Sus scrofa: one gene and its partners. The protein of the gene in region 2 interacts with the protein of the main gene of each other region in a pairwise test. Links are inferred from orthologs where the notes say so. Each region holds a gene or a part of one and is shown on either strand. Other genes may lie near its edges.

Region 1 (4,648 bases), on a different chromosome or scaffold from region 2:
CTGTGGTGTAGGTCGAAGACATGGCTCGATCCCATGTTGCTGTAGCTGTGGTGTAGGCCGGCAGCTGGAGCTCCAATTTGACCCTTGGCCTGGGAACTGCCATGTGCCGTGGGTGTGGCCCTAAAAAGAAAAAAAAAAGCAAATTTCCAACAGGAAAACTTCATTTTCTTCATTTCCCCAAGAGCTTCACTATCTATATATCCCTCAAATTCCTGATGTTCTGCAGGCAATAGGTTCACAAGGTACTGTAGAGAAAAATCCAGAGAAACCTGAGTCTGTTTGCTTGGCTGTGACTGTGAAACACACCTAGGTATAGACTCCTCCCCCAGTGCCCTCCAGGGGACCAAGTGCCAGGGACTGCTTCAGGTTCAAGAGGGAAAAGATGCAGCTGAGAAGACAAAGGATGGAGGGGGAAGGAGAGGGTCCTCTGAACATCTAGTGCTCAGCACAGATTTTGTTTCTACATTCACCTCCTGCCCACACTGGCTTTTTTTTTTTTCCCCCTCTATTCTGCAATGAATTCCCAAGAAAAACCCACACTCAATTCTCACTCCTGTCATTCCAAACCTCCCATCCTCCCCAAGTCACGCGGCCAAGGCATCAGTAATCGATCTTGGCCTTCTAGGTACAGCAATCCAGGATGAGCCCTATCTACCATCCTAGTCCTGACTACAGAAAGGAATCCAAGGGGACTCCTACTTGGTTGCTCGGCCAGTTCCTATGCTCACCTCTCAGTCTGAACTTGCTTGTATCTCACTCTCCCCACTTTTTTTTTTTTTTGGCTTATCTAATTTCAGCTTCCAAGGTATAATACTTTAACAACTCACTTCCCTGGCCTGCTTCTTTCACTTAACTAACATCCCCTAAGGACCTAAATTAGGCAAGGTCTCTCCTGGATGCTGTGAGACCAGAGACAAGAGGATGGGGTAGAGATAAGACTATACAATTACTACTGCAGGGTGAATATTGAGAAATAGGGCCAAAGGAGCAGAAGAGGAGAGCTGCGTGGGCTCACAGTGTGTTCTGCCCCTTCCTGCTAGGAGCAGGCACCTGGATGGTCCCTAGGAGGGTGGTGAATAATGGGCAGAAATGGGGGAAGGAGGGTAGAACAGCATGAGCTAAGACAGAAGAGGTCAGAAGGAGCAATTCAACTGTTAGACCTTCAGCTGCATAGAGGGAGTGGTAGCTATTATTACTATATTACTATTGTTGACTCTTACAGATGATTACTTATGTGCCAGGCTCCACTGCAAGCTTTATGTCTAATCTGGGTGACATCCACCTGGGACACACAGGTATGGTGCACCAGTCACCACCTGTTCAGATCAATGCCTGAGCTATATGGTTGTTAAAAATATTAAATCATTTTAATCCTCACAATGGCCTTGTAGGTAGGTATTATTACCCCCACTTTAAGGAAACCAAGGCACAGAGACTAACGAGAGGTGAGACTCAGGAGGGATGCAGGAGGTAGTAAGCACCCCACGCCAGGGCAACAAACTGCCCTGGCGCTTCACCTGGCCTGGCCTATCTTGTTAGGAACACCTTGTAGCATGGAGAGTGCCTTGAGGGAAGGGGCCCTGTTAATCCTACTGGAATCCCCAACAGCTGACTGAAACAAGGAAGGAACAAAGGAGCATAATGAGAGCCAGTTAGGAGTGAGCAAGATAATACAGCCCACCTGTCCAGCTCCTGGACTCAGCCTGGCACTGCCTGAAAGCTTTGTTCCTGCTGTGTGGGCAGGGCAGAGGCTCACCCCACCCAGCGCCACTCCATGCCCAGGTTAAAGCAGCAGAGAGCAAAGTGAAGAAGGCACGGAGGGTAGGCAGAGTGGCTGGCTACCACAGACACCCTGGGTCTGTCCTAAAACACCCAGCCTCTAAAGAAAGGTCACACTGACTAGAGGGGGCAGGGACAGAAATGTGCCAGGCAGACTGTTCTCAGCTTGGGCTCAAACTGGCTGACTTAGCTTCTCCTCTTCAAAGTCTCAAGCTGATGAATTTCATAACCCTCATTTATGCCAACAGACGCGTATTTACCTTTTTAAAACTTCAGGAGGCTGGGTTGAGCCCAAAGGGAGTTAAAGTCAAGAATCCCTCCCTGAAACTTCAGCTCAAGGTTGGAGATGGAGGAAAGACAGATAGAGAAGGTAAACACACAGGTCAGCAGAGCACCTGAGATGGATCCGGCGTTCTCTCAAAACGCCTTACAAATCAATTCCAACACTAGCAGCTCCCAGGTATTTCCGTCTTCCGGAGGAAAGGTGCTTAAGACAGCGTCCTCCACTAGCTCTCCTCAGGACAAGCCTTTCCCGGAAGGGTACACACACTCTAGAGAATTCAGCGGGGTCAGAGGGGCCATGGCCACCGTCCATGCCCACACCAGCCAGTCGCCTTCTTGTCACGGGTTCACCCGGTCCCAAGCCGGCCCAAATTCGGCTTGAACCCCTGACACCGGCACAGCAGCACAATCACGTGGCCCACCCACCCGACAAGGAAGGCAACCCCCCGCCCCCTCGCCGTCGACGCAGCCGGTCGGGACCAGCCCGACACCCGCCCCTTTCCCTCCCCCCCCCCAAACGCTGTGCAACCAGGAAGCGACGGGGCCGCGATGGGAAGGGGCGCGGGACAGTTGGGGGCCTTCCGGTAGAGGCCGCAGCGCCTGGCCAACGCCCCGTCCCGTGCCCTCGGCAGTCAAAGAACCCTCACTCACCTGGCCACTGGCCACCGGGGTAGGGGAGGCCGCGACGGTCGAACAGGAACACGGGCAGCAGCGACTTTCTCCACGGGCGTCCCGGAGTAGCACCTCGGATTGGCCTCGAGTTCTGTCCCACTACCGCTCTTTGGGCTTTCGGGGTTCTCGGGGCTCTCGGGACCCGCGGGCTCCGCAGCCGTCAGGGCGGGGCGGGAGGAGGAGCCTGCGAGGCGGAAAACTCCTAGGGCTCGGGGTCCTAATCCGCCCGGGGCGGAGCCGCGTGCGCCAGGGGAGGGGCGGGAGGAGGCGGTGCCGAGGGGCGTGGTCTGCCCCCAGCTCCCGCCCCCAGGTGAGAAGACGTTCGGGGTCAGCTGGCTGTAAGCTGCCTCTGCGAGGAAGGAAGCTACAGGCCTTCCGCCGCTGCGGGAGGAGTACTCAGCGGTCGCCCAGAGGTCGACATGATGCTGTTTCTCTCCACGCCTCTTGAGGTCCGTCCTGCCCTGCGTCTCACTCTCGAGGAGCGGATTCCCCAAGCCCCCTCCAGCCCAGAGTACCTTCCTTAGTGACTCTTTTAAAGTAAAGAACACAACAGTATGGAAATTGGAGTGGGAGAGTAGCTTTGTAGAGGAGAAACCGCGACCAACTACTAAAGCCAGACAATCAAGGTCAGCATCAAGAATGATAAATCAATAGTGATGGTATGAACCTATCGTGGTCTTCCTGCCAAGAATACATAATCCCATGTTAATCATGAGAAAAACATGAGACAAATCCCAGTTCTGGGATACTTTACGAAATACTGGACCAGTACTACTTAAAATTGTCAAGGTCATCAAAACCAGGGAAAAGTCTGAGACACACATGGTCACAGGCAGGAGTAAGCCTGAGGAGATTATGAAAACTAAATGTAATATGGTATCCTGGATGGGATCCTGGAAAAAGGACATTAGATTTAAATACTAAGAAAATCTGAGTGAAGTTAATAATACTGCATCAGTATTGACTCGCTCATTGTAGCAAAACACCAAGCCAACAGAAAATGTTAATAGAAAAAAAAAGGTGTTTATGAGAACCTTCTATTTGAAATTTTTCTGTAGATTTAAAACAATTCTAAATTTATTTTTAAAAAGGGTCATGCACGCATGCGATTTGTGAATATTTTTATTTTTATTTAACAAATGTTTATAATATATATTACATAAACATTTAAATATTTTTAAAAACCTGAGATTCACTCTTCACTCCCCCAGCCCAACTTAGGCGTGCCTTTCCTATATCACATAGATATACTTTTTACAAAACGGTGTTGCTGTATTTTTCTGCGACGTGCTTTTTAACTCAATATCTTGGAGGTCCTTTTCATGGAAGCGCAGCTAGATCAACCTGGTTCTTATTTAATCAGTACACAACATGCGCGATCTCGCGTGTAGCCATTGTTTAATACTTAGCTCCTTAGGAAGGTAGTTGCTTTTGGGGGGCTGTTAAAAAAAAAAAAAAAAAAAAAAAAAAAAAGAGCTGCTGGTCCGATTTACATTGTAATAGTGCTAGGAGTGGGGCTGGGCTGGGCGGGGCGGCAGGGTACCAGGCTGGGGGTGGGTGTTGGGCGCAAGGCGCGCACTCTTGCAGGATTCAATCAAGCCCTGCTACCCTGGGGATCCAGGCAACACCCCCACCTCCCCCAAGGCGTGGCCCTTTTTCGCGGCTGGACTGCATTTTTTGGAGATGATTGGTCGGATAAGGGTGAAATTCTGGCCAAAGGCTCGGAGGAAACAGAGTGGAGGGTCAGAGACACAAGGAGACTCTCCCCGGGTTATATTTCTGGTATGGGAGCCCGCAGCGGCGCAGGAGCGGTGACGACCCTTGCATCGGACCAGCGGCGTTCGGAGGGGGCTTCTGTTTCCCGGCACTTTCTCTGGGCTGGGGGCTTCGTTTGGAAAGGTCATCCGGCGTCCAC
Region 2 (4,565 bases):
TCCCTGTCCCACTGCCTAATGAGAGAAGAACTTCATACTCACCCTTACTCTAGGGATCTACACCAGTGTGGTTAACTAACTAGAATCAGAGACAAGCGCTTCGAAGGAAGAGACCAGGGTTTTGTGACTACATGTGCCAAAGGAAGGTGTTTGGATGGGGAGAGAGAGAGAGAGGGAGTTGAGACACCGTCCCTGAGGACCACCTTCAGCTGAGATCTAATGGATGCAAAGGAGTTGAGGAGGCAAGCAGCAGGGGATAGTAACAAACACAGTTGCTTTGAAAATCTGAAAAAAAAAAAAAGGACAATCTATCTGAAAGAAAAGAGACAGGCTTAAGAGGCAGTTAAGGAGAAAACAGAGGATCCCTTTGGGTTTGGTGGACCAGAACAAAACCTTTATCCTGAATGCAAGAGGAAGCAATGATGTATTCATTAGATACTGCCTATAATATGAATATATGTATTTTTAAACATCACTGGCTATAGTGCAAACATCAAACCATAGACAAGCCAGTGAAGGTGAGATATGAAATGGTTAGATTATTAGCATTATTTAATCTTCAAAAGATTCTTGGAAAAGGTAATTATTTCCTAAATCATTGGGTTAGGCCTATAGAATCACTTGAAATTTGGGTAATATTTTCATTTAAATAAAGCCCAAGTGAACATATTATTAATGTAATAGCAAATATTTGTCTTTTATTAACTGTAAAGCATTTCACTAGATGTTCTACACATAGTTTCATTTAATTTCCAAATTGCCTGAATTAGAAAATATTATGCTCATTTTATAGATTAAAAACTGAGGCTTGGACTTACAGCAACTTGCTTAAAACTACCACACAACTATTCAGAACAAAAGTCAGATTTTGAAGCCTGATTCAGTCTTTCTATACCTGTTTTCCCACTTGAAAAATGGGGATAATTAATGGTATTTACCTCATAAGATTGTCTGATAATTAAATTAGTTAATCAACATTAGGCACAGTAAACTCTTAATTTTAGTCTATCATTGTTAGCACCATTATCATAAAGTACCTATATTATTGGACTTCAGAAATAAAATTGAGCTATTTTTCTTGCAATCTCTCAATTCTGATTATTATCTAATTTAATTATGTATCACCTACTATTACTTAGCTAATGGGTGGGTTAAAACATCCTCCAAGTGCCTTGGGTGCATATCATAGATTTGCTTATAATTCTTCAAATACCAATCACATAAAAATTTATAGCAGCAATTCTCAACTCTGGCTGCTTATTTAAATCACCTGAGAAATTTAAAGAAGTGACCAATCCCAGGGGTCCACAACCAGAGCTTCTGCTTCTGTTTTCCTGGGATAGTGCCCTGATGCTAATGTTTTCAACAGTTTGCAAGTAATACCTAAGTACAGGCACTTTTGAGAACTATCACCTTAGAGTCTTGGAGTCTTTTTACTCCACATTCTTTTAAAATGCAAACATCTGGATGAGATCCAGGCTACACTGAGATGTTTCTGGCTAGATGGGTAAACAATCCATCCATCTCCCGAGCACATTTATTTGCTCAGAATAGAATCAAAATGCATACACCCTTCTGCCCAAACAGATTCCTTTTGATCCTAAGTCCCCAGGATGGTCTCTCAAGATGTGGGTACCCTGCCTACTTGCAAATCTGGGTGCACCATGAACTCTGTCATTCGGTAAAATTCTGGTAATGTTGATAACTGCATTTGTTTAAATGAAAATCTCTGAAGCCTCCTAGGCAGTGGTTCAAAAGAAATAATGTATTCCTTGGTTTATAGTGATATGATCCAGTTACTTTTCTTAGAAAAGCAAGGAGTTTGGGGTTGGTAGATGCAAATTATTACATTTAAAATGGATACACAGTGGGAAACTACTGTACAGCTGTACAGAACAGGGAACTACGTCCATTCTCTGGAGTTAGAACATTACGGAGGATCATATGAAAAAGGAATATATATATATATATACATATATATACATATATATATATGACTGGATCACTTTGCTGTATAGCAGAAATTGAAAGAACACTGTAAATCAACTATACTTCAATTAAAATTTTAAAGAAAAGCAAGATATGATTATGTCTATAAAAGTGAAACTTTTACATTTTTGTGTATAACAAAATAAAAATGAGAATTATCCTAGGTAGCTATTTTTCTGTTGCCTGCAGCTTCCAGGTTTAACCAGTCATCTTCTGCATGACAATCACTGAACACAATTAACCCCAGATGACAAATGACTCAAAAACATCCAGAGATAAATTTCCTAAAAATGATTGCATGACCATAATTTTCAGAACAAATGGAGACTCAGTAAAATCTCTTACTTAATGTATGTATTTTGGGGTTTAATATATATGTGACCTTATATTTTATTTGCTGAATGTCAATTCACTACTGTTATTAACACTACACCTTTACTATCCTGTATAAATAAAAAATATTTCAATGATATTTATGATAATATATAGTCAAAGAAAGATGTATGCTGCCAATTTCATCACTGCACTTTTAACACAGAGACAGACAGACAGACACCCTTTTGGGAATATCAGTAATTGATACATTTTGGTTTTTTATTTTTACTTTTTGGTCTTTTGAGGGCTGCACCCCTGGCATATGGAGGTTCCCAGGCTAGGGGTCTAATCGGAACTATGTCTGCAGGCTTACACCACAGCCACAGCAACGCCAGATCCGAGCCACATCTGCAACCTACACCATAGCTCACGGCAACGCCAGATCCTTAACCCACTGAGCAAGACCAGGGATCGAACGCACAACCTCATGGTTTCTAGTCGGATTCATTTCCACTGCGCCACAAGGGGAAATCTGGTTTTTTATTCTTTAAGCTAATGTTTTACCTGAGAATCCTGCTGAAGGATATTCAGGGGGATTCTGAGCTGGTGAGTGTGTTCCCGGATAAGGAGCCTTCATTTGCGCATCTGCAGTTCAAGGAGAGGTAAACATTTATCTTCTTAAAAAGTACATGTTAGAAAGAAAAATGCATTGTTCTTAGAGAATTTTTGTTTATATACGCCTGTGTTGTATTGAAAGAAAGTGAATTATTCACTGAAAAAAGCTGTGCCTATTATCAGAATTAATTTGCAGTAGAATACTGTTTCAAACAAATTCCCTTTGGATAAAATAGGCAGCTAAGTTCTGGGGCTGAATTTCTAGTTTGCAAAAATGCCTGATGAGTATTCTCTTCCATATCTTGATTTTGTTGTTATTAGAAAAGATAGATTGTTTTAAACTACATGTAGACTGTGAAGAAAAAGATAAATGAAACTAGCTGGATGTGGGAATGGTGGAACCAAGGATTATAGGTGATTTTAAAGATATCTATAATTATTGATTGAAGAATTATGTTCTAATTATTTAAAATAATACATATAACATACATATACTTCAGTATTTAAATTCCCTTTTTACGCGTACTCTGGAACTACACTATGAAGTTTGAATATAGGACATTCCAGTATTTGACTGATTTTGTCATACAAAAATCATAACTGACAATTACAATAAATAAACATGGTAATTTATGTTAGTATCTGCTAATCAATGTGGTTTGAATAATATATGTATGAATAGTTCCATTTCCCAGTTTTCATATTTGTGTTTTTCTAGTCATTCCTTTAACAACTGCCCCAGCCAGAAAAATATTTACTAGCATCTCCTGTGTCATCCCTATGGCTACACTGGCTCTGCCTTCATGGAGTTTATGGTCTCGTGGACACTGTCCTCATACCATGTTGTCCTCTCTTTGTTATGACTTATTAACTATGTAAATTAAAAATAGTTTCTTTTTGAATCATGAGGACATGGCATCAGTATGGAAGATAAAGTTAATGACACTTTCAATCTGCACATTTCCTGTATGCTTTCCTATCATGGGCCAGTCATGGGCTTTCAAAACCCACTCAACTCATGTGATTTGAAGGAAGGAAGGCTGGGTTGTGACCCACCCCCACCACTTCCTCCTCCATTCTATTGACTTCATAGTAACTTCAGCAGAATGGGATCCATGGATACTGCAAATTCAGGCGACAGAGAATCCTCCACTTCATTCAGGGCTTTTCCCTGTACAGACACTGCAGCACACCCCAAATTACCACATATTTCTGCAGTATCAAAAGCCATTCCATCCTAACCATCCCTTCTGTTTCCTGGCTTCAGGTGAGTGGCTGAGCTCCTAGTTCTATAGCTCTCGAGGCTCTGCCCACAGCCCCCACTCCCAACCTGAGCTTGAAAAAAAAGGATCAGACTCAATAGATCTCAAGGAAACACACTGCAAGTGTGACTTCAAGACCCATCCTTAAATGATATATCACAGTTTGGCACCTCTTAGTTCATAAACTCTGGGGTTTTGGTATCAGAGCAATGATCCTGAAATGTTTCAGTAATTCCAGGGGGAATTTATACACTGAGGAAAATAAGTGAATGAGCAAGTAGTCAGGTAGACCAAAGAATATATGAAGGATGAATTTCTACATTTGTGAAATGCAACTTAGAATAACTTACAAACACCATAGGAATTTCATATTGTCAACAAGTT
Region 3 (4,416 bases), on a different chromosome or scaffold from region 2:
CTTGTCCCAAGCCCTGGGCTCTCGGTCCAGGCAGGTCTGAAGTTGGAAGCGAAGCTGGGGACAGTCTTGGCACCATCACCTCTCTCAAGTTTAGGTTTGAGAAAATGCACAGGAAACTGGGCACAAACAGGACCTTATCTTCGCCCTTTCCCTTCATTGATCTGAGACATTCTAGGCTTTGTTTAGAGGATGACAGAGTCACACTTACTTACTCAGGGACAGCAGAGGGGCCATTTTCACCTGAGAGCTTCTCAATTTAGGGCAAATATTTCCTGCTGTGGGAGATCAGGGCGAAAATTCCCAAGAATGTCTCACATAAATCACTACTTTCAGGGACAAAGTTTTAGGCACTTCCTAGGAAAATCTCTCAACTCCAGTCCAACCGGGTGACTTTGCAGGAACAGCAGCTTATTCTGGAAACAGAAAAGCTCTGCCAGCTCAGTCTACCTCTGGTCCTATTTCTTTTTTTTTTTTTTTTTTCGCTTTTTAGGGCTGCTCCCTTGGCACATGGAGGCTCTCAGGCTGGGGGTGGAATCAGAGCTGCAGCTGCCAGCCTACACCACAGCCACAGCAACACCGGATCTGAGCCTTGTCTGCAACCTCCACCACAGCTCACGGCAACGTCAGATCCTTAACCCACTGAACGGGGCCAGGGATTGAACCCGCATCCTCATGGATCCTAGATGGGCTCATTAACCGCTGGGCCACAAAGGGAATTCCTTTCTGGGCCTATGTCTAGCCTGCCTCCCAGATGCTTCCAATTAATGCCAGTCATTGAAGGCGAGGATTGGCTAGATTGGAAATGACCCAGGAACCAGGCTTCAGAACCCCCTGATCCAGATCAATGTTTTCTACAATCACCCAATCACAGGACTCAGCTGGGAGTATTGCTTCCCAGCAGGCCTCACTTCAAACCCACTGGGCTAAGGCTTCCAGGAGAGAGACTCCAGAATTTCTATCTTTGGCAAGTGCCCCCCAAATAACGGCTCTCACTTATTGAGAACTTAATCTGTGCCACTCACCATATTAAATGCTTTTTTTTTTTGGCTGCGCCCGGGGCATGTGGAAGTTCCTGGGCCAGGGATTGAACCAGCGAGACAGCTATAACCAGAGCCGGATCCTTAACCTGGCGAGGCACTAGGGAATTCCCAAATGCTTTTAATTGGCTTGTTTAATCCTCGGCAAGGACCTAGAAATTAAGGCACTTGCTCAGGATCACACAACGATCAAGGAGGGAGCCAGAATTCCACCCGAGGAAGTAGCATGGCTTCTCAGGCAGACATAAATGTGGCTAAGATTCTGACAAGGACCTGGGTGGAGCTGGGAGGTCTCCAGGCGACAGTGCCAGTGCAGATCAAAGGTGAGCCTTCTCTGCAACCTGGGAGGGCAGCACCCAACAAGGAGGCCTGGGTTACTTTAGGGCCCTCTGGCCTCTGGGCCAGCCATTCCCAGGGGCTGTCCTGCCTGCTCATGGCTTTAGAGAGCTGCCCTGGCCAGAGAGCCTCACCTCCGGGGAGGGTGGTGGGTGTACTAGGTGCCAAGGGTGGAGACAGGCAAAAGTTTCTAGGAGTCACCTGGCACCCTTTGCGACACCCCCCCCCATAAATTCTAAGGGCCCACCCAAACAGGAAGAGAAAACGGGGCACCTGCCTCAACTACCATCCCCCAACGCTCCATGCTTCTGAGGTCTCCAGAGTCACTGGGCTGGCAGGTCCAAAAGAGCTGCCTGTTTTCACTTCCCTGTCCCGAAGAGGAAAAAGCACCTTCCTCATCTATGCCTTCTAGAAATCAAGCCTATCTGAAGATTACTCTGCCGACGACCTCTCAAATGAACTGCAAGGCCCGCCGTGCGCAGAGCCGAGGGGGGTAGTGGTGGAAACCTCAGCGTTTGCAGGGTTGAGGAACCTCCACGGGGGGCGCGTTCTAAGAGCTCAAGGGGAGCGACCAGAGCCCAGGTCCCCAGGGGGAGGGAAAAGATGAGGACAGCAGGGACCAGTCTCAGTCCAGGAGGGGGTGTGAACGGACCCGTGAAGCTTCCCCTGCCCCTACTGCGGATGTGGGAGCTCAAAGTCCGAGAGGCCTGAGATGGGGTTTGGCGAGGGGTCAGATGAGTTGCCTTTTGCCTTCAGAAGCCCGAAAAAACAAGGCCAGCGGTATCTCCCAAGGCCAAGCCTCCACCCACCTTCTCCCGGCTCTAGTTCTAAAGCCACCTGCCCCAGCCCACGCGAGTCGGCGAAGGCAGGACAGAGCTAGGGAGAGGTCTTGGGGGTGGGGGACAAGGGCCCGCCAGCTGGTTTGGGGCTTTGGGAGCCAGGACGGAGTACTTACATCCAGAAGTGTGGCTGGCTGCAGCTGACGCCTCAGCTCGGAGAGGGAGCCGCCTTCACCCAGCCCTAGGGATCACTTCCCGGCAGGGCAGGCCAGGCGCAGGGGTGGGGCTTGGGCATTTAAAGGGCCCTTGCAGCTGGTTCTCGTTGAGTTTTTTGGGTTTGTTTCTCTCCTGTGGGAGGCTTTCACTGCAGCTGAAGGCACTGCAGCTCATTCAGTGCTCAGGAATGCCCGCCTCAGAGCCAGCTGGCAGCGCTGGAATGAAACTAGGAGGGGGTCCAAGGCCTAGGGCGGCGGCGGGGGGGGGGGGGGGTGGTGCTGAGTTGGCTTCTCCCCCCTCTGGCTGGCATTTCCCATCAGGGTGGGTCCGACTCTGCCTCTCCAGGCCTGCGTGTGCTCCAGCGGCAGTACCTCCTCTAAAGAGAAGATAACCTGCTACTTTTCTTTTTTTATTTTAGATTCAGAAAATTCAGCCCAGGTGTCCAAACAACGGTTCCATAGAAAACACACACACACATACACATGTCCTCTTTCTGGTAAGGTGCTGTGTTGGGAGTTCGCAGGGTCTCTGCTCCTCCCAGGTGCCCCAGCGCCCCCGGGGTAGGGAGGGAGGGCCAGCAGGTCAGGACTCTGCACCCTAAAGGCAGAGGCGCTCAGTACTTGCGCTGCCTGGGGAAGAGGCTACTTCCCGAGGCCCGGAGCGCGGGGCTGGGGGGGCTGGCGTCCTCTGCGTCCAGGCTGAAGAGGTCCCTGCCGGTCCGGAGGATCTGCTCCTCCAGCTTCTTGTGCCGCTTCATGTCCGAGAGGACCTTGTCCAGGCGGGCCTCCCGTTTCTGGCTCCGGGCTGAGCTTCCTGCAGAAGGGGAAGGAGAGAAATGTGGGCGCGACTGAGGTTCTGTGCCCCGGACCTTCCTGGGATCTTATGACTCACTTGAGGAGCTCGGGAAACAGAGCGACTTCTAGGCCTGTCCTGGAGGGGCTGTGGTGTAGGGCTGGGGCCTCAGATGGGGTGGGCCGTGAAGGCTGGACGTATGAGAAGGGGCAGGTAATGTGAAGACCTAGGAAGAGCAGCCCAGGCAGGCACCAGCAAGTGCAAAAGCCCCAGGGCAGGAACGGGGAGGTCTGCTCAAGGGCAAATGCAGAACTGGGGGAGACAGGAAAGATGAGGCCCAAGAAATGACTCACAGATCACGATAAGGGGTACGGATCTCTTTGTTTAAATGGAAGCCTTGGTGGGGGCACAGTGTGTGTGTTGGATTCTCTTTGTTTAAATTGTTTTAGGGCCGCACCCACGGTATATGGCGGTTCCCAGGCGAGGGGTCGAATCAGAGCTGTAGCTGCCGGCCGACACCACAGCCTTGGCAATGCTGGGATCCTTAGCAAAGCCAGGGATGGAAACTGTGTCCTCATGGATGAGAGTTGGGTTCATTAACCACTGAGCAACGATGGGAACTCCTGGATTCTCATTTTGATAAGCTCTTACACCCCAGCAATAAAATCCTTTGGAAGACTTTTTTTTTTTTTTGCTTTTTACCGCTGCACGTGCAGGACATGGAAGTTCCCAAGCTAGGGGTTGAAAGCTACAGCTGCCAGCCTATACCACAGCCACAGCCATTCGGGATCCAAGCCACATCTGCGACCTACACCACAGCTCACAACAACATCGGATCCTTAACCAACTGCGCAAGACCAGGGATCACACCCGCATCCTCGTGGATACTAGTTGGGTTCATTTCCGATGAGCCACAATGGGAACTCCTTTTTTTTTTAACGGCCGCAGCCATGGCACATGGAAGTTCAGGGACTGAATCCAAACCACAGCTGAGGCTACGCCCGATCCTTTAACCCAGAGCACCAGGCCCAGGATTGAACCCGTCCCTCTCCAGTGAACCAAGTCACTGCAATCAGATTCTTAATCCACTGCACCAAGCAGGAACTCCTCCTTCGGAGAATTTAAAACAGAATTGGGAGTTCCTGTCGTGGCACAGCAGCAACAAATCCTACTAGGAACCATGAGGTTGCAGGTTCGATCCCTGGCCTTGCTCAGTGGGTTAAGGATCCAGTGTTGCCGTGAGCTGTGGTGTAGGT

The links. The genes of interacting proteins can lie anywhere in the genome.
Region 1: the proteins of PLSCR1 (region 2) and ANXA11 interact in a two-hybrid assay, tested with the Homo sapiens proteins (2 studies listed by BioGRID and IntAct). The two-hybrid records come from large-scale screens. The link is inferred for Sus scrofa from reciprocal best matches to the Homo sapiens genes PLSCR1 and ANXA11.
Region 3: the proteins of PLSCR1 (region 2) and MVP interact in a two-hybrid assay, tested with the Homo sapiens proteins (2 studies listed by BioGRID and IntAct). The link is inferred for Sus scrofa from reciprocal best matches to the Homo sapiens genes PLSCR1 and MVP.

What each region holds. Positions count from the first base shown.
Region 1 is NC_010456.5:81,833,538-81,838,185, reverse strand, and holds the start of ANXA11 (annexin A11), read right to left. Parts: upstream 2,982-4,648; 5' UTR 2,713-2,981; intron 2,426-2,712; exon of another isoform or gene 2,040-2,425; intron 1-2,039. UniProt on the Homo sapiens protein: Binds specifically to calcyclin in a calcium-dependent manner. Required for midbody formation and completion of the terminal phase of cytokinesis.
Region 2 is NC_010455.5:86,856,979-86,861,543, forward strand, and holds the start of PLSCR1 (phospholipid scramblase 1), read right to left. Parts: upstream 2,942-4,565; coding exon 2,869-2,941; intron 1-2,868. UniProt on the Homo sapiens protein: Catalyzes calcium-induced ATP-independent rapid bidirectional and non-specific movement of phospholipids (lipid scrambling or lipid flip-flop) between the inner and outer leaflet of the plasma membrane resulting in collapse of the phospholipid asymmetry which leads to phosphatidylserine externalization on the cell surface.
Region 3 is NC_010445.4:18,055,266-18,059,681, reverse strand, and holds the start of MVP (major vault protein), read right to left. Parts: upstream 2,982-4,416; 5' UTR 2,329-2,981; intron 1,190-2,328; exon of another isoform or gene 1,023-1,189; intron 1-1,022. Other genes in the region: PAGR1 (PAXIP1-associated glutamate-rich protein 1), read right to left, coding at 2,982-3,181. UniProt on the Homo sapiens protein: Required for normal vault structure. Vaults are multi-subunit structures that may act as scaffolds for proteins involved in signal transduction. Vaults may also play a role in nucleo-cytoplasmic transport.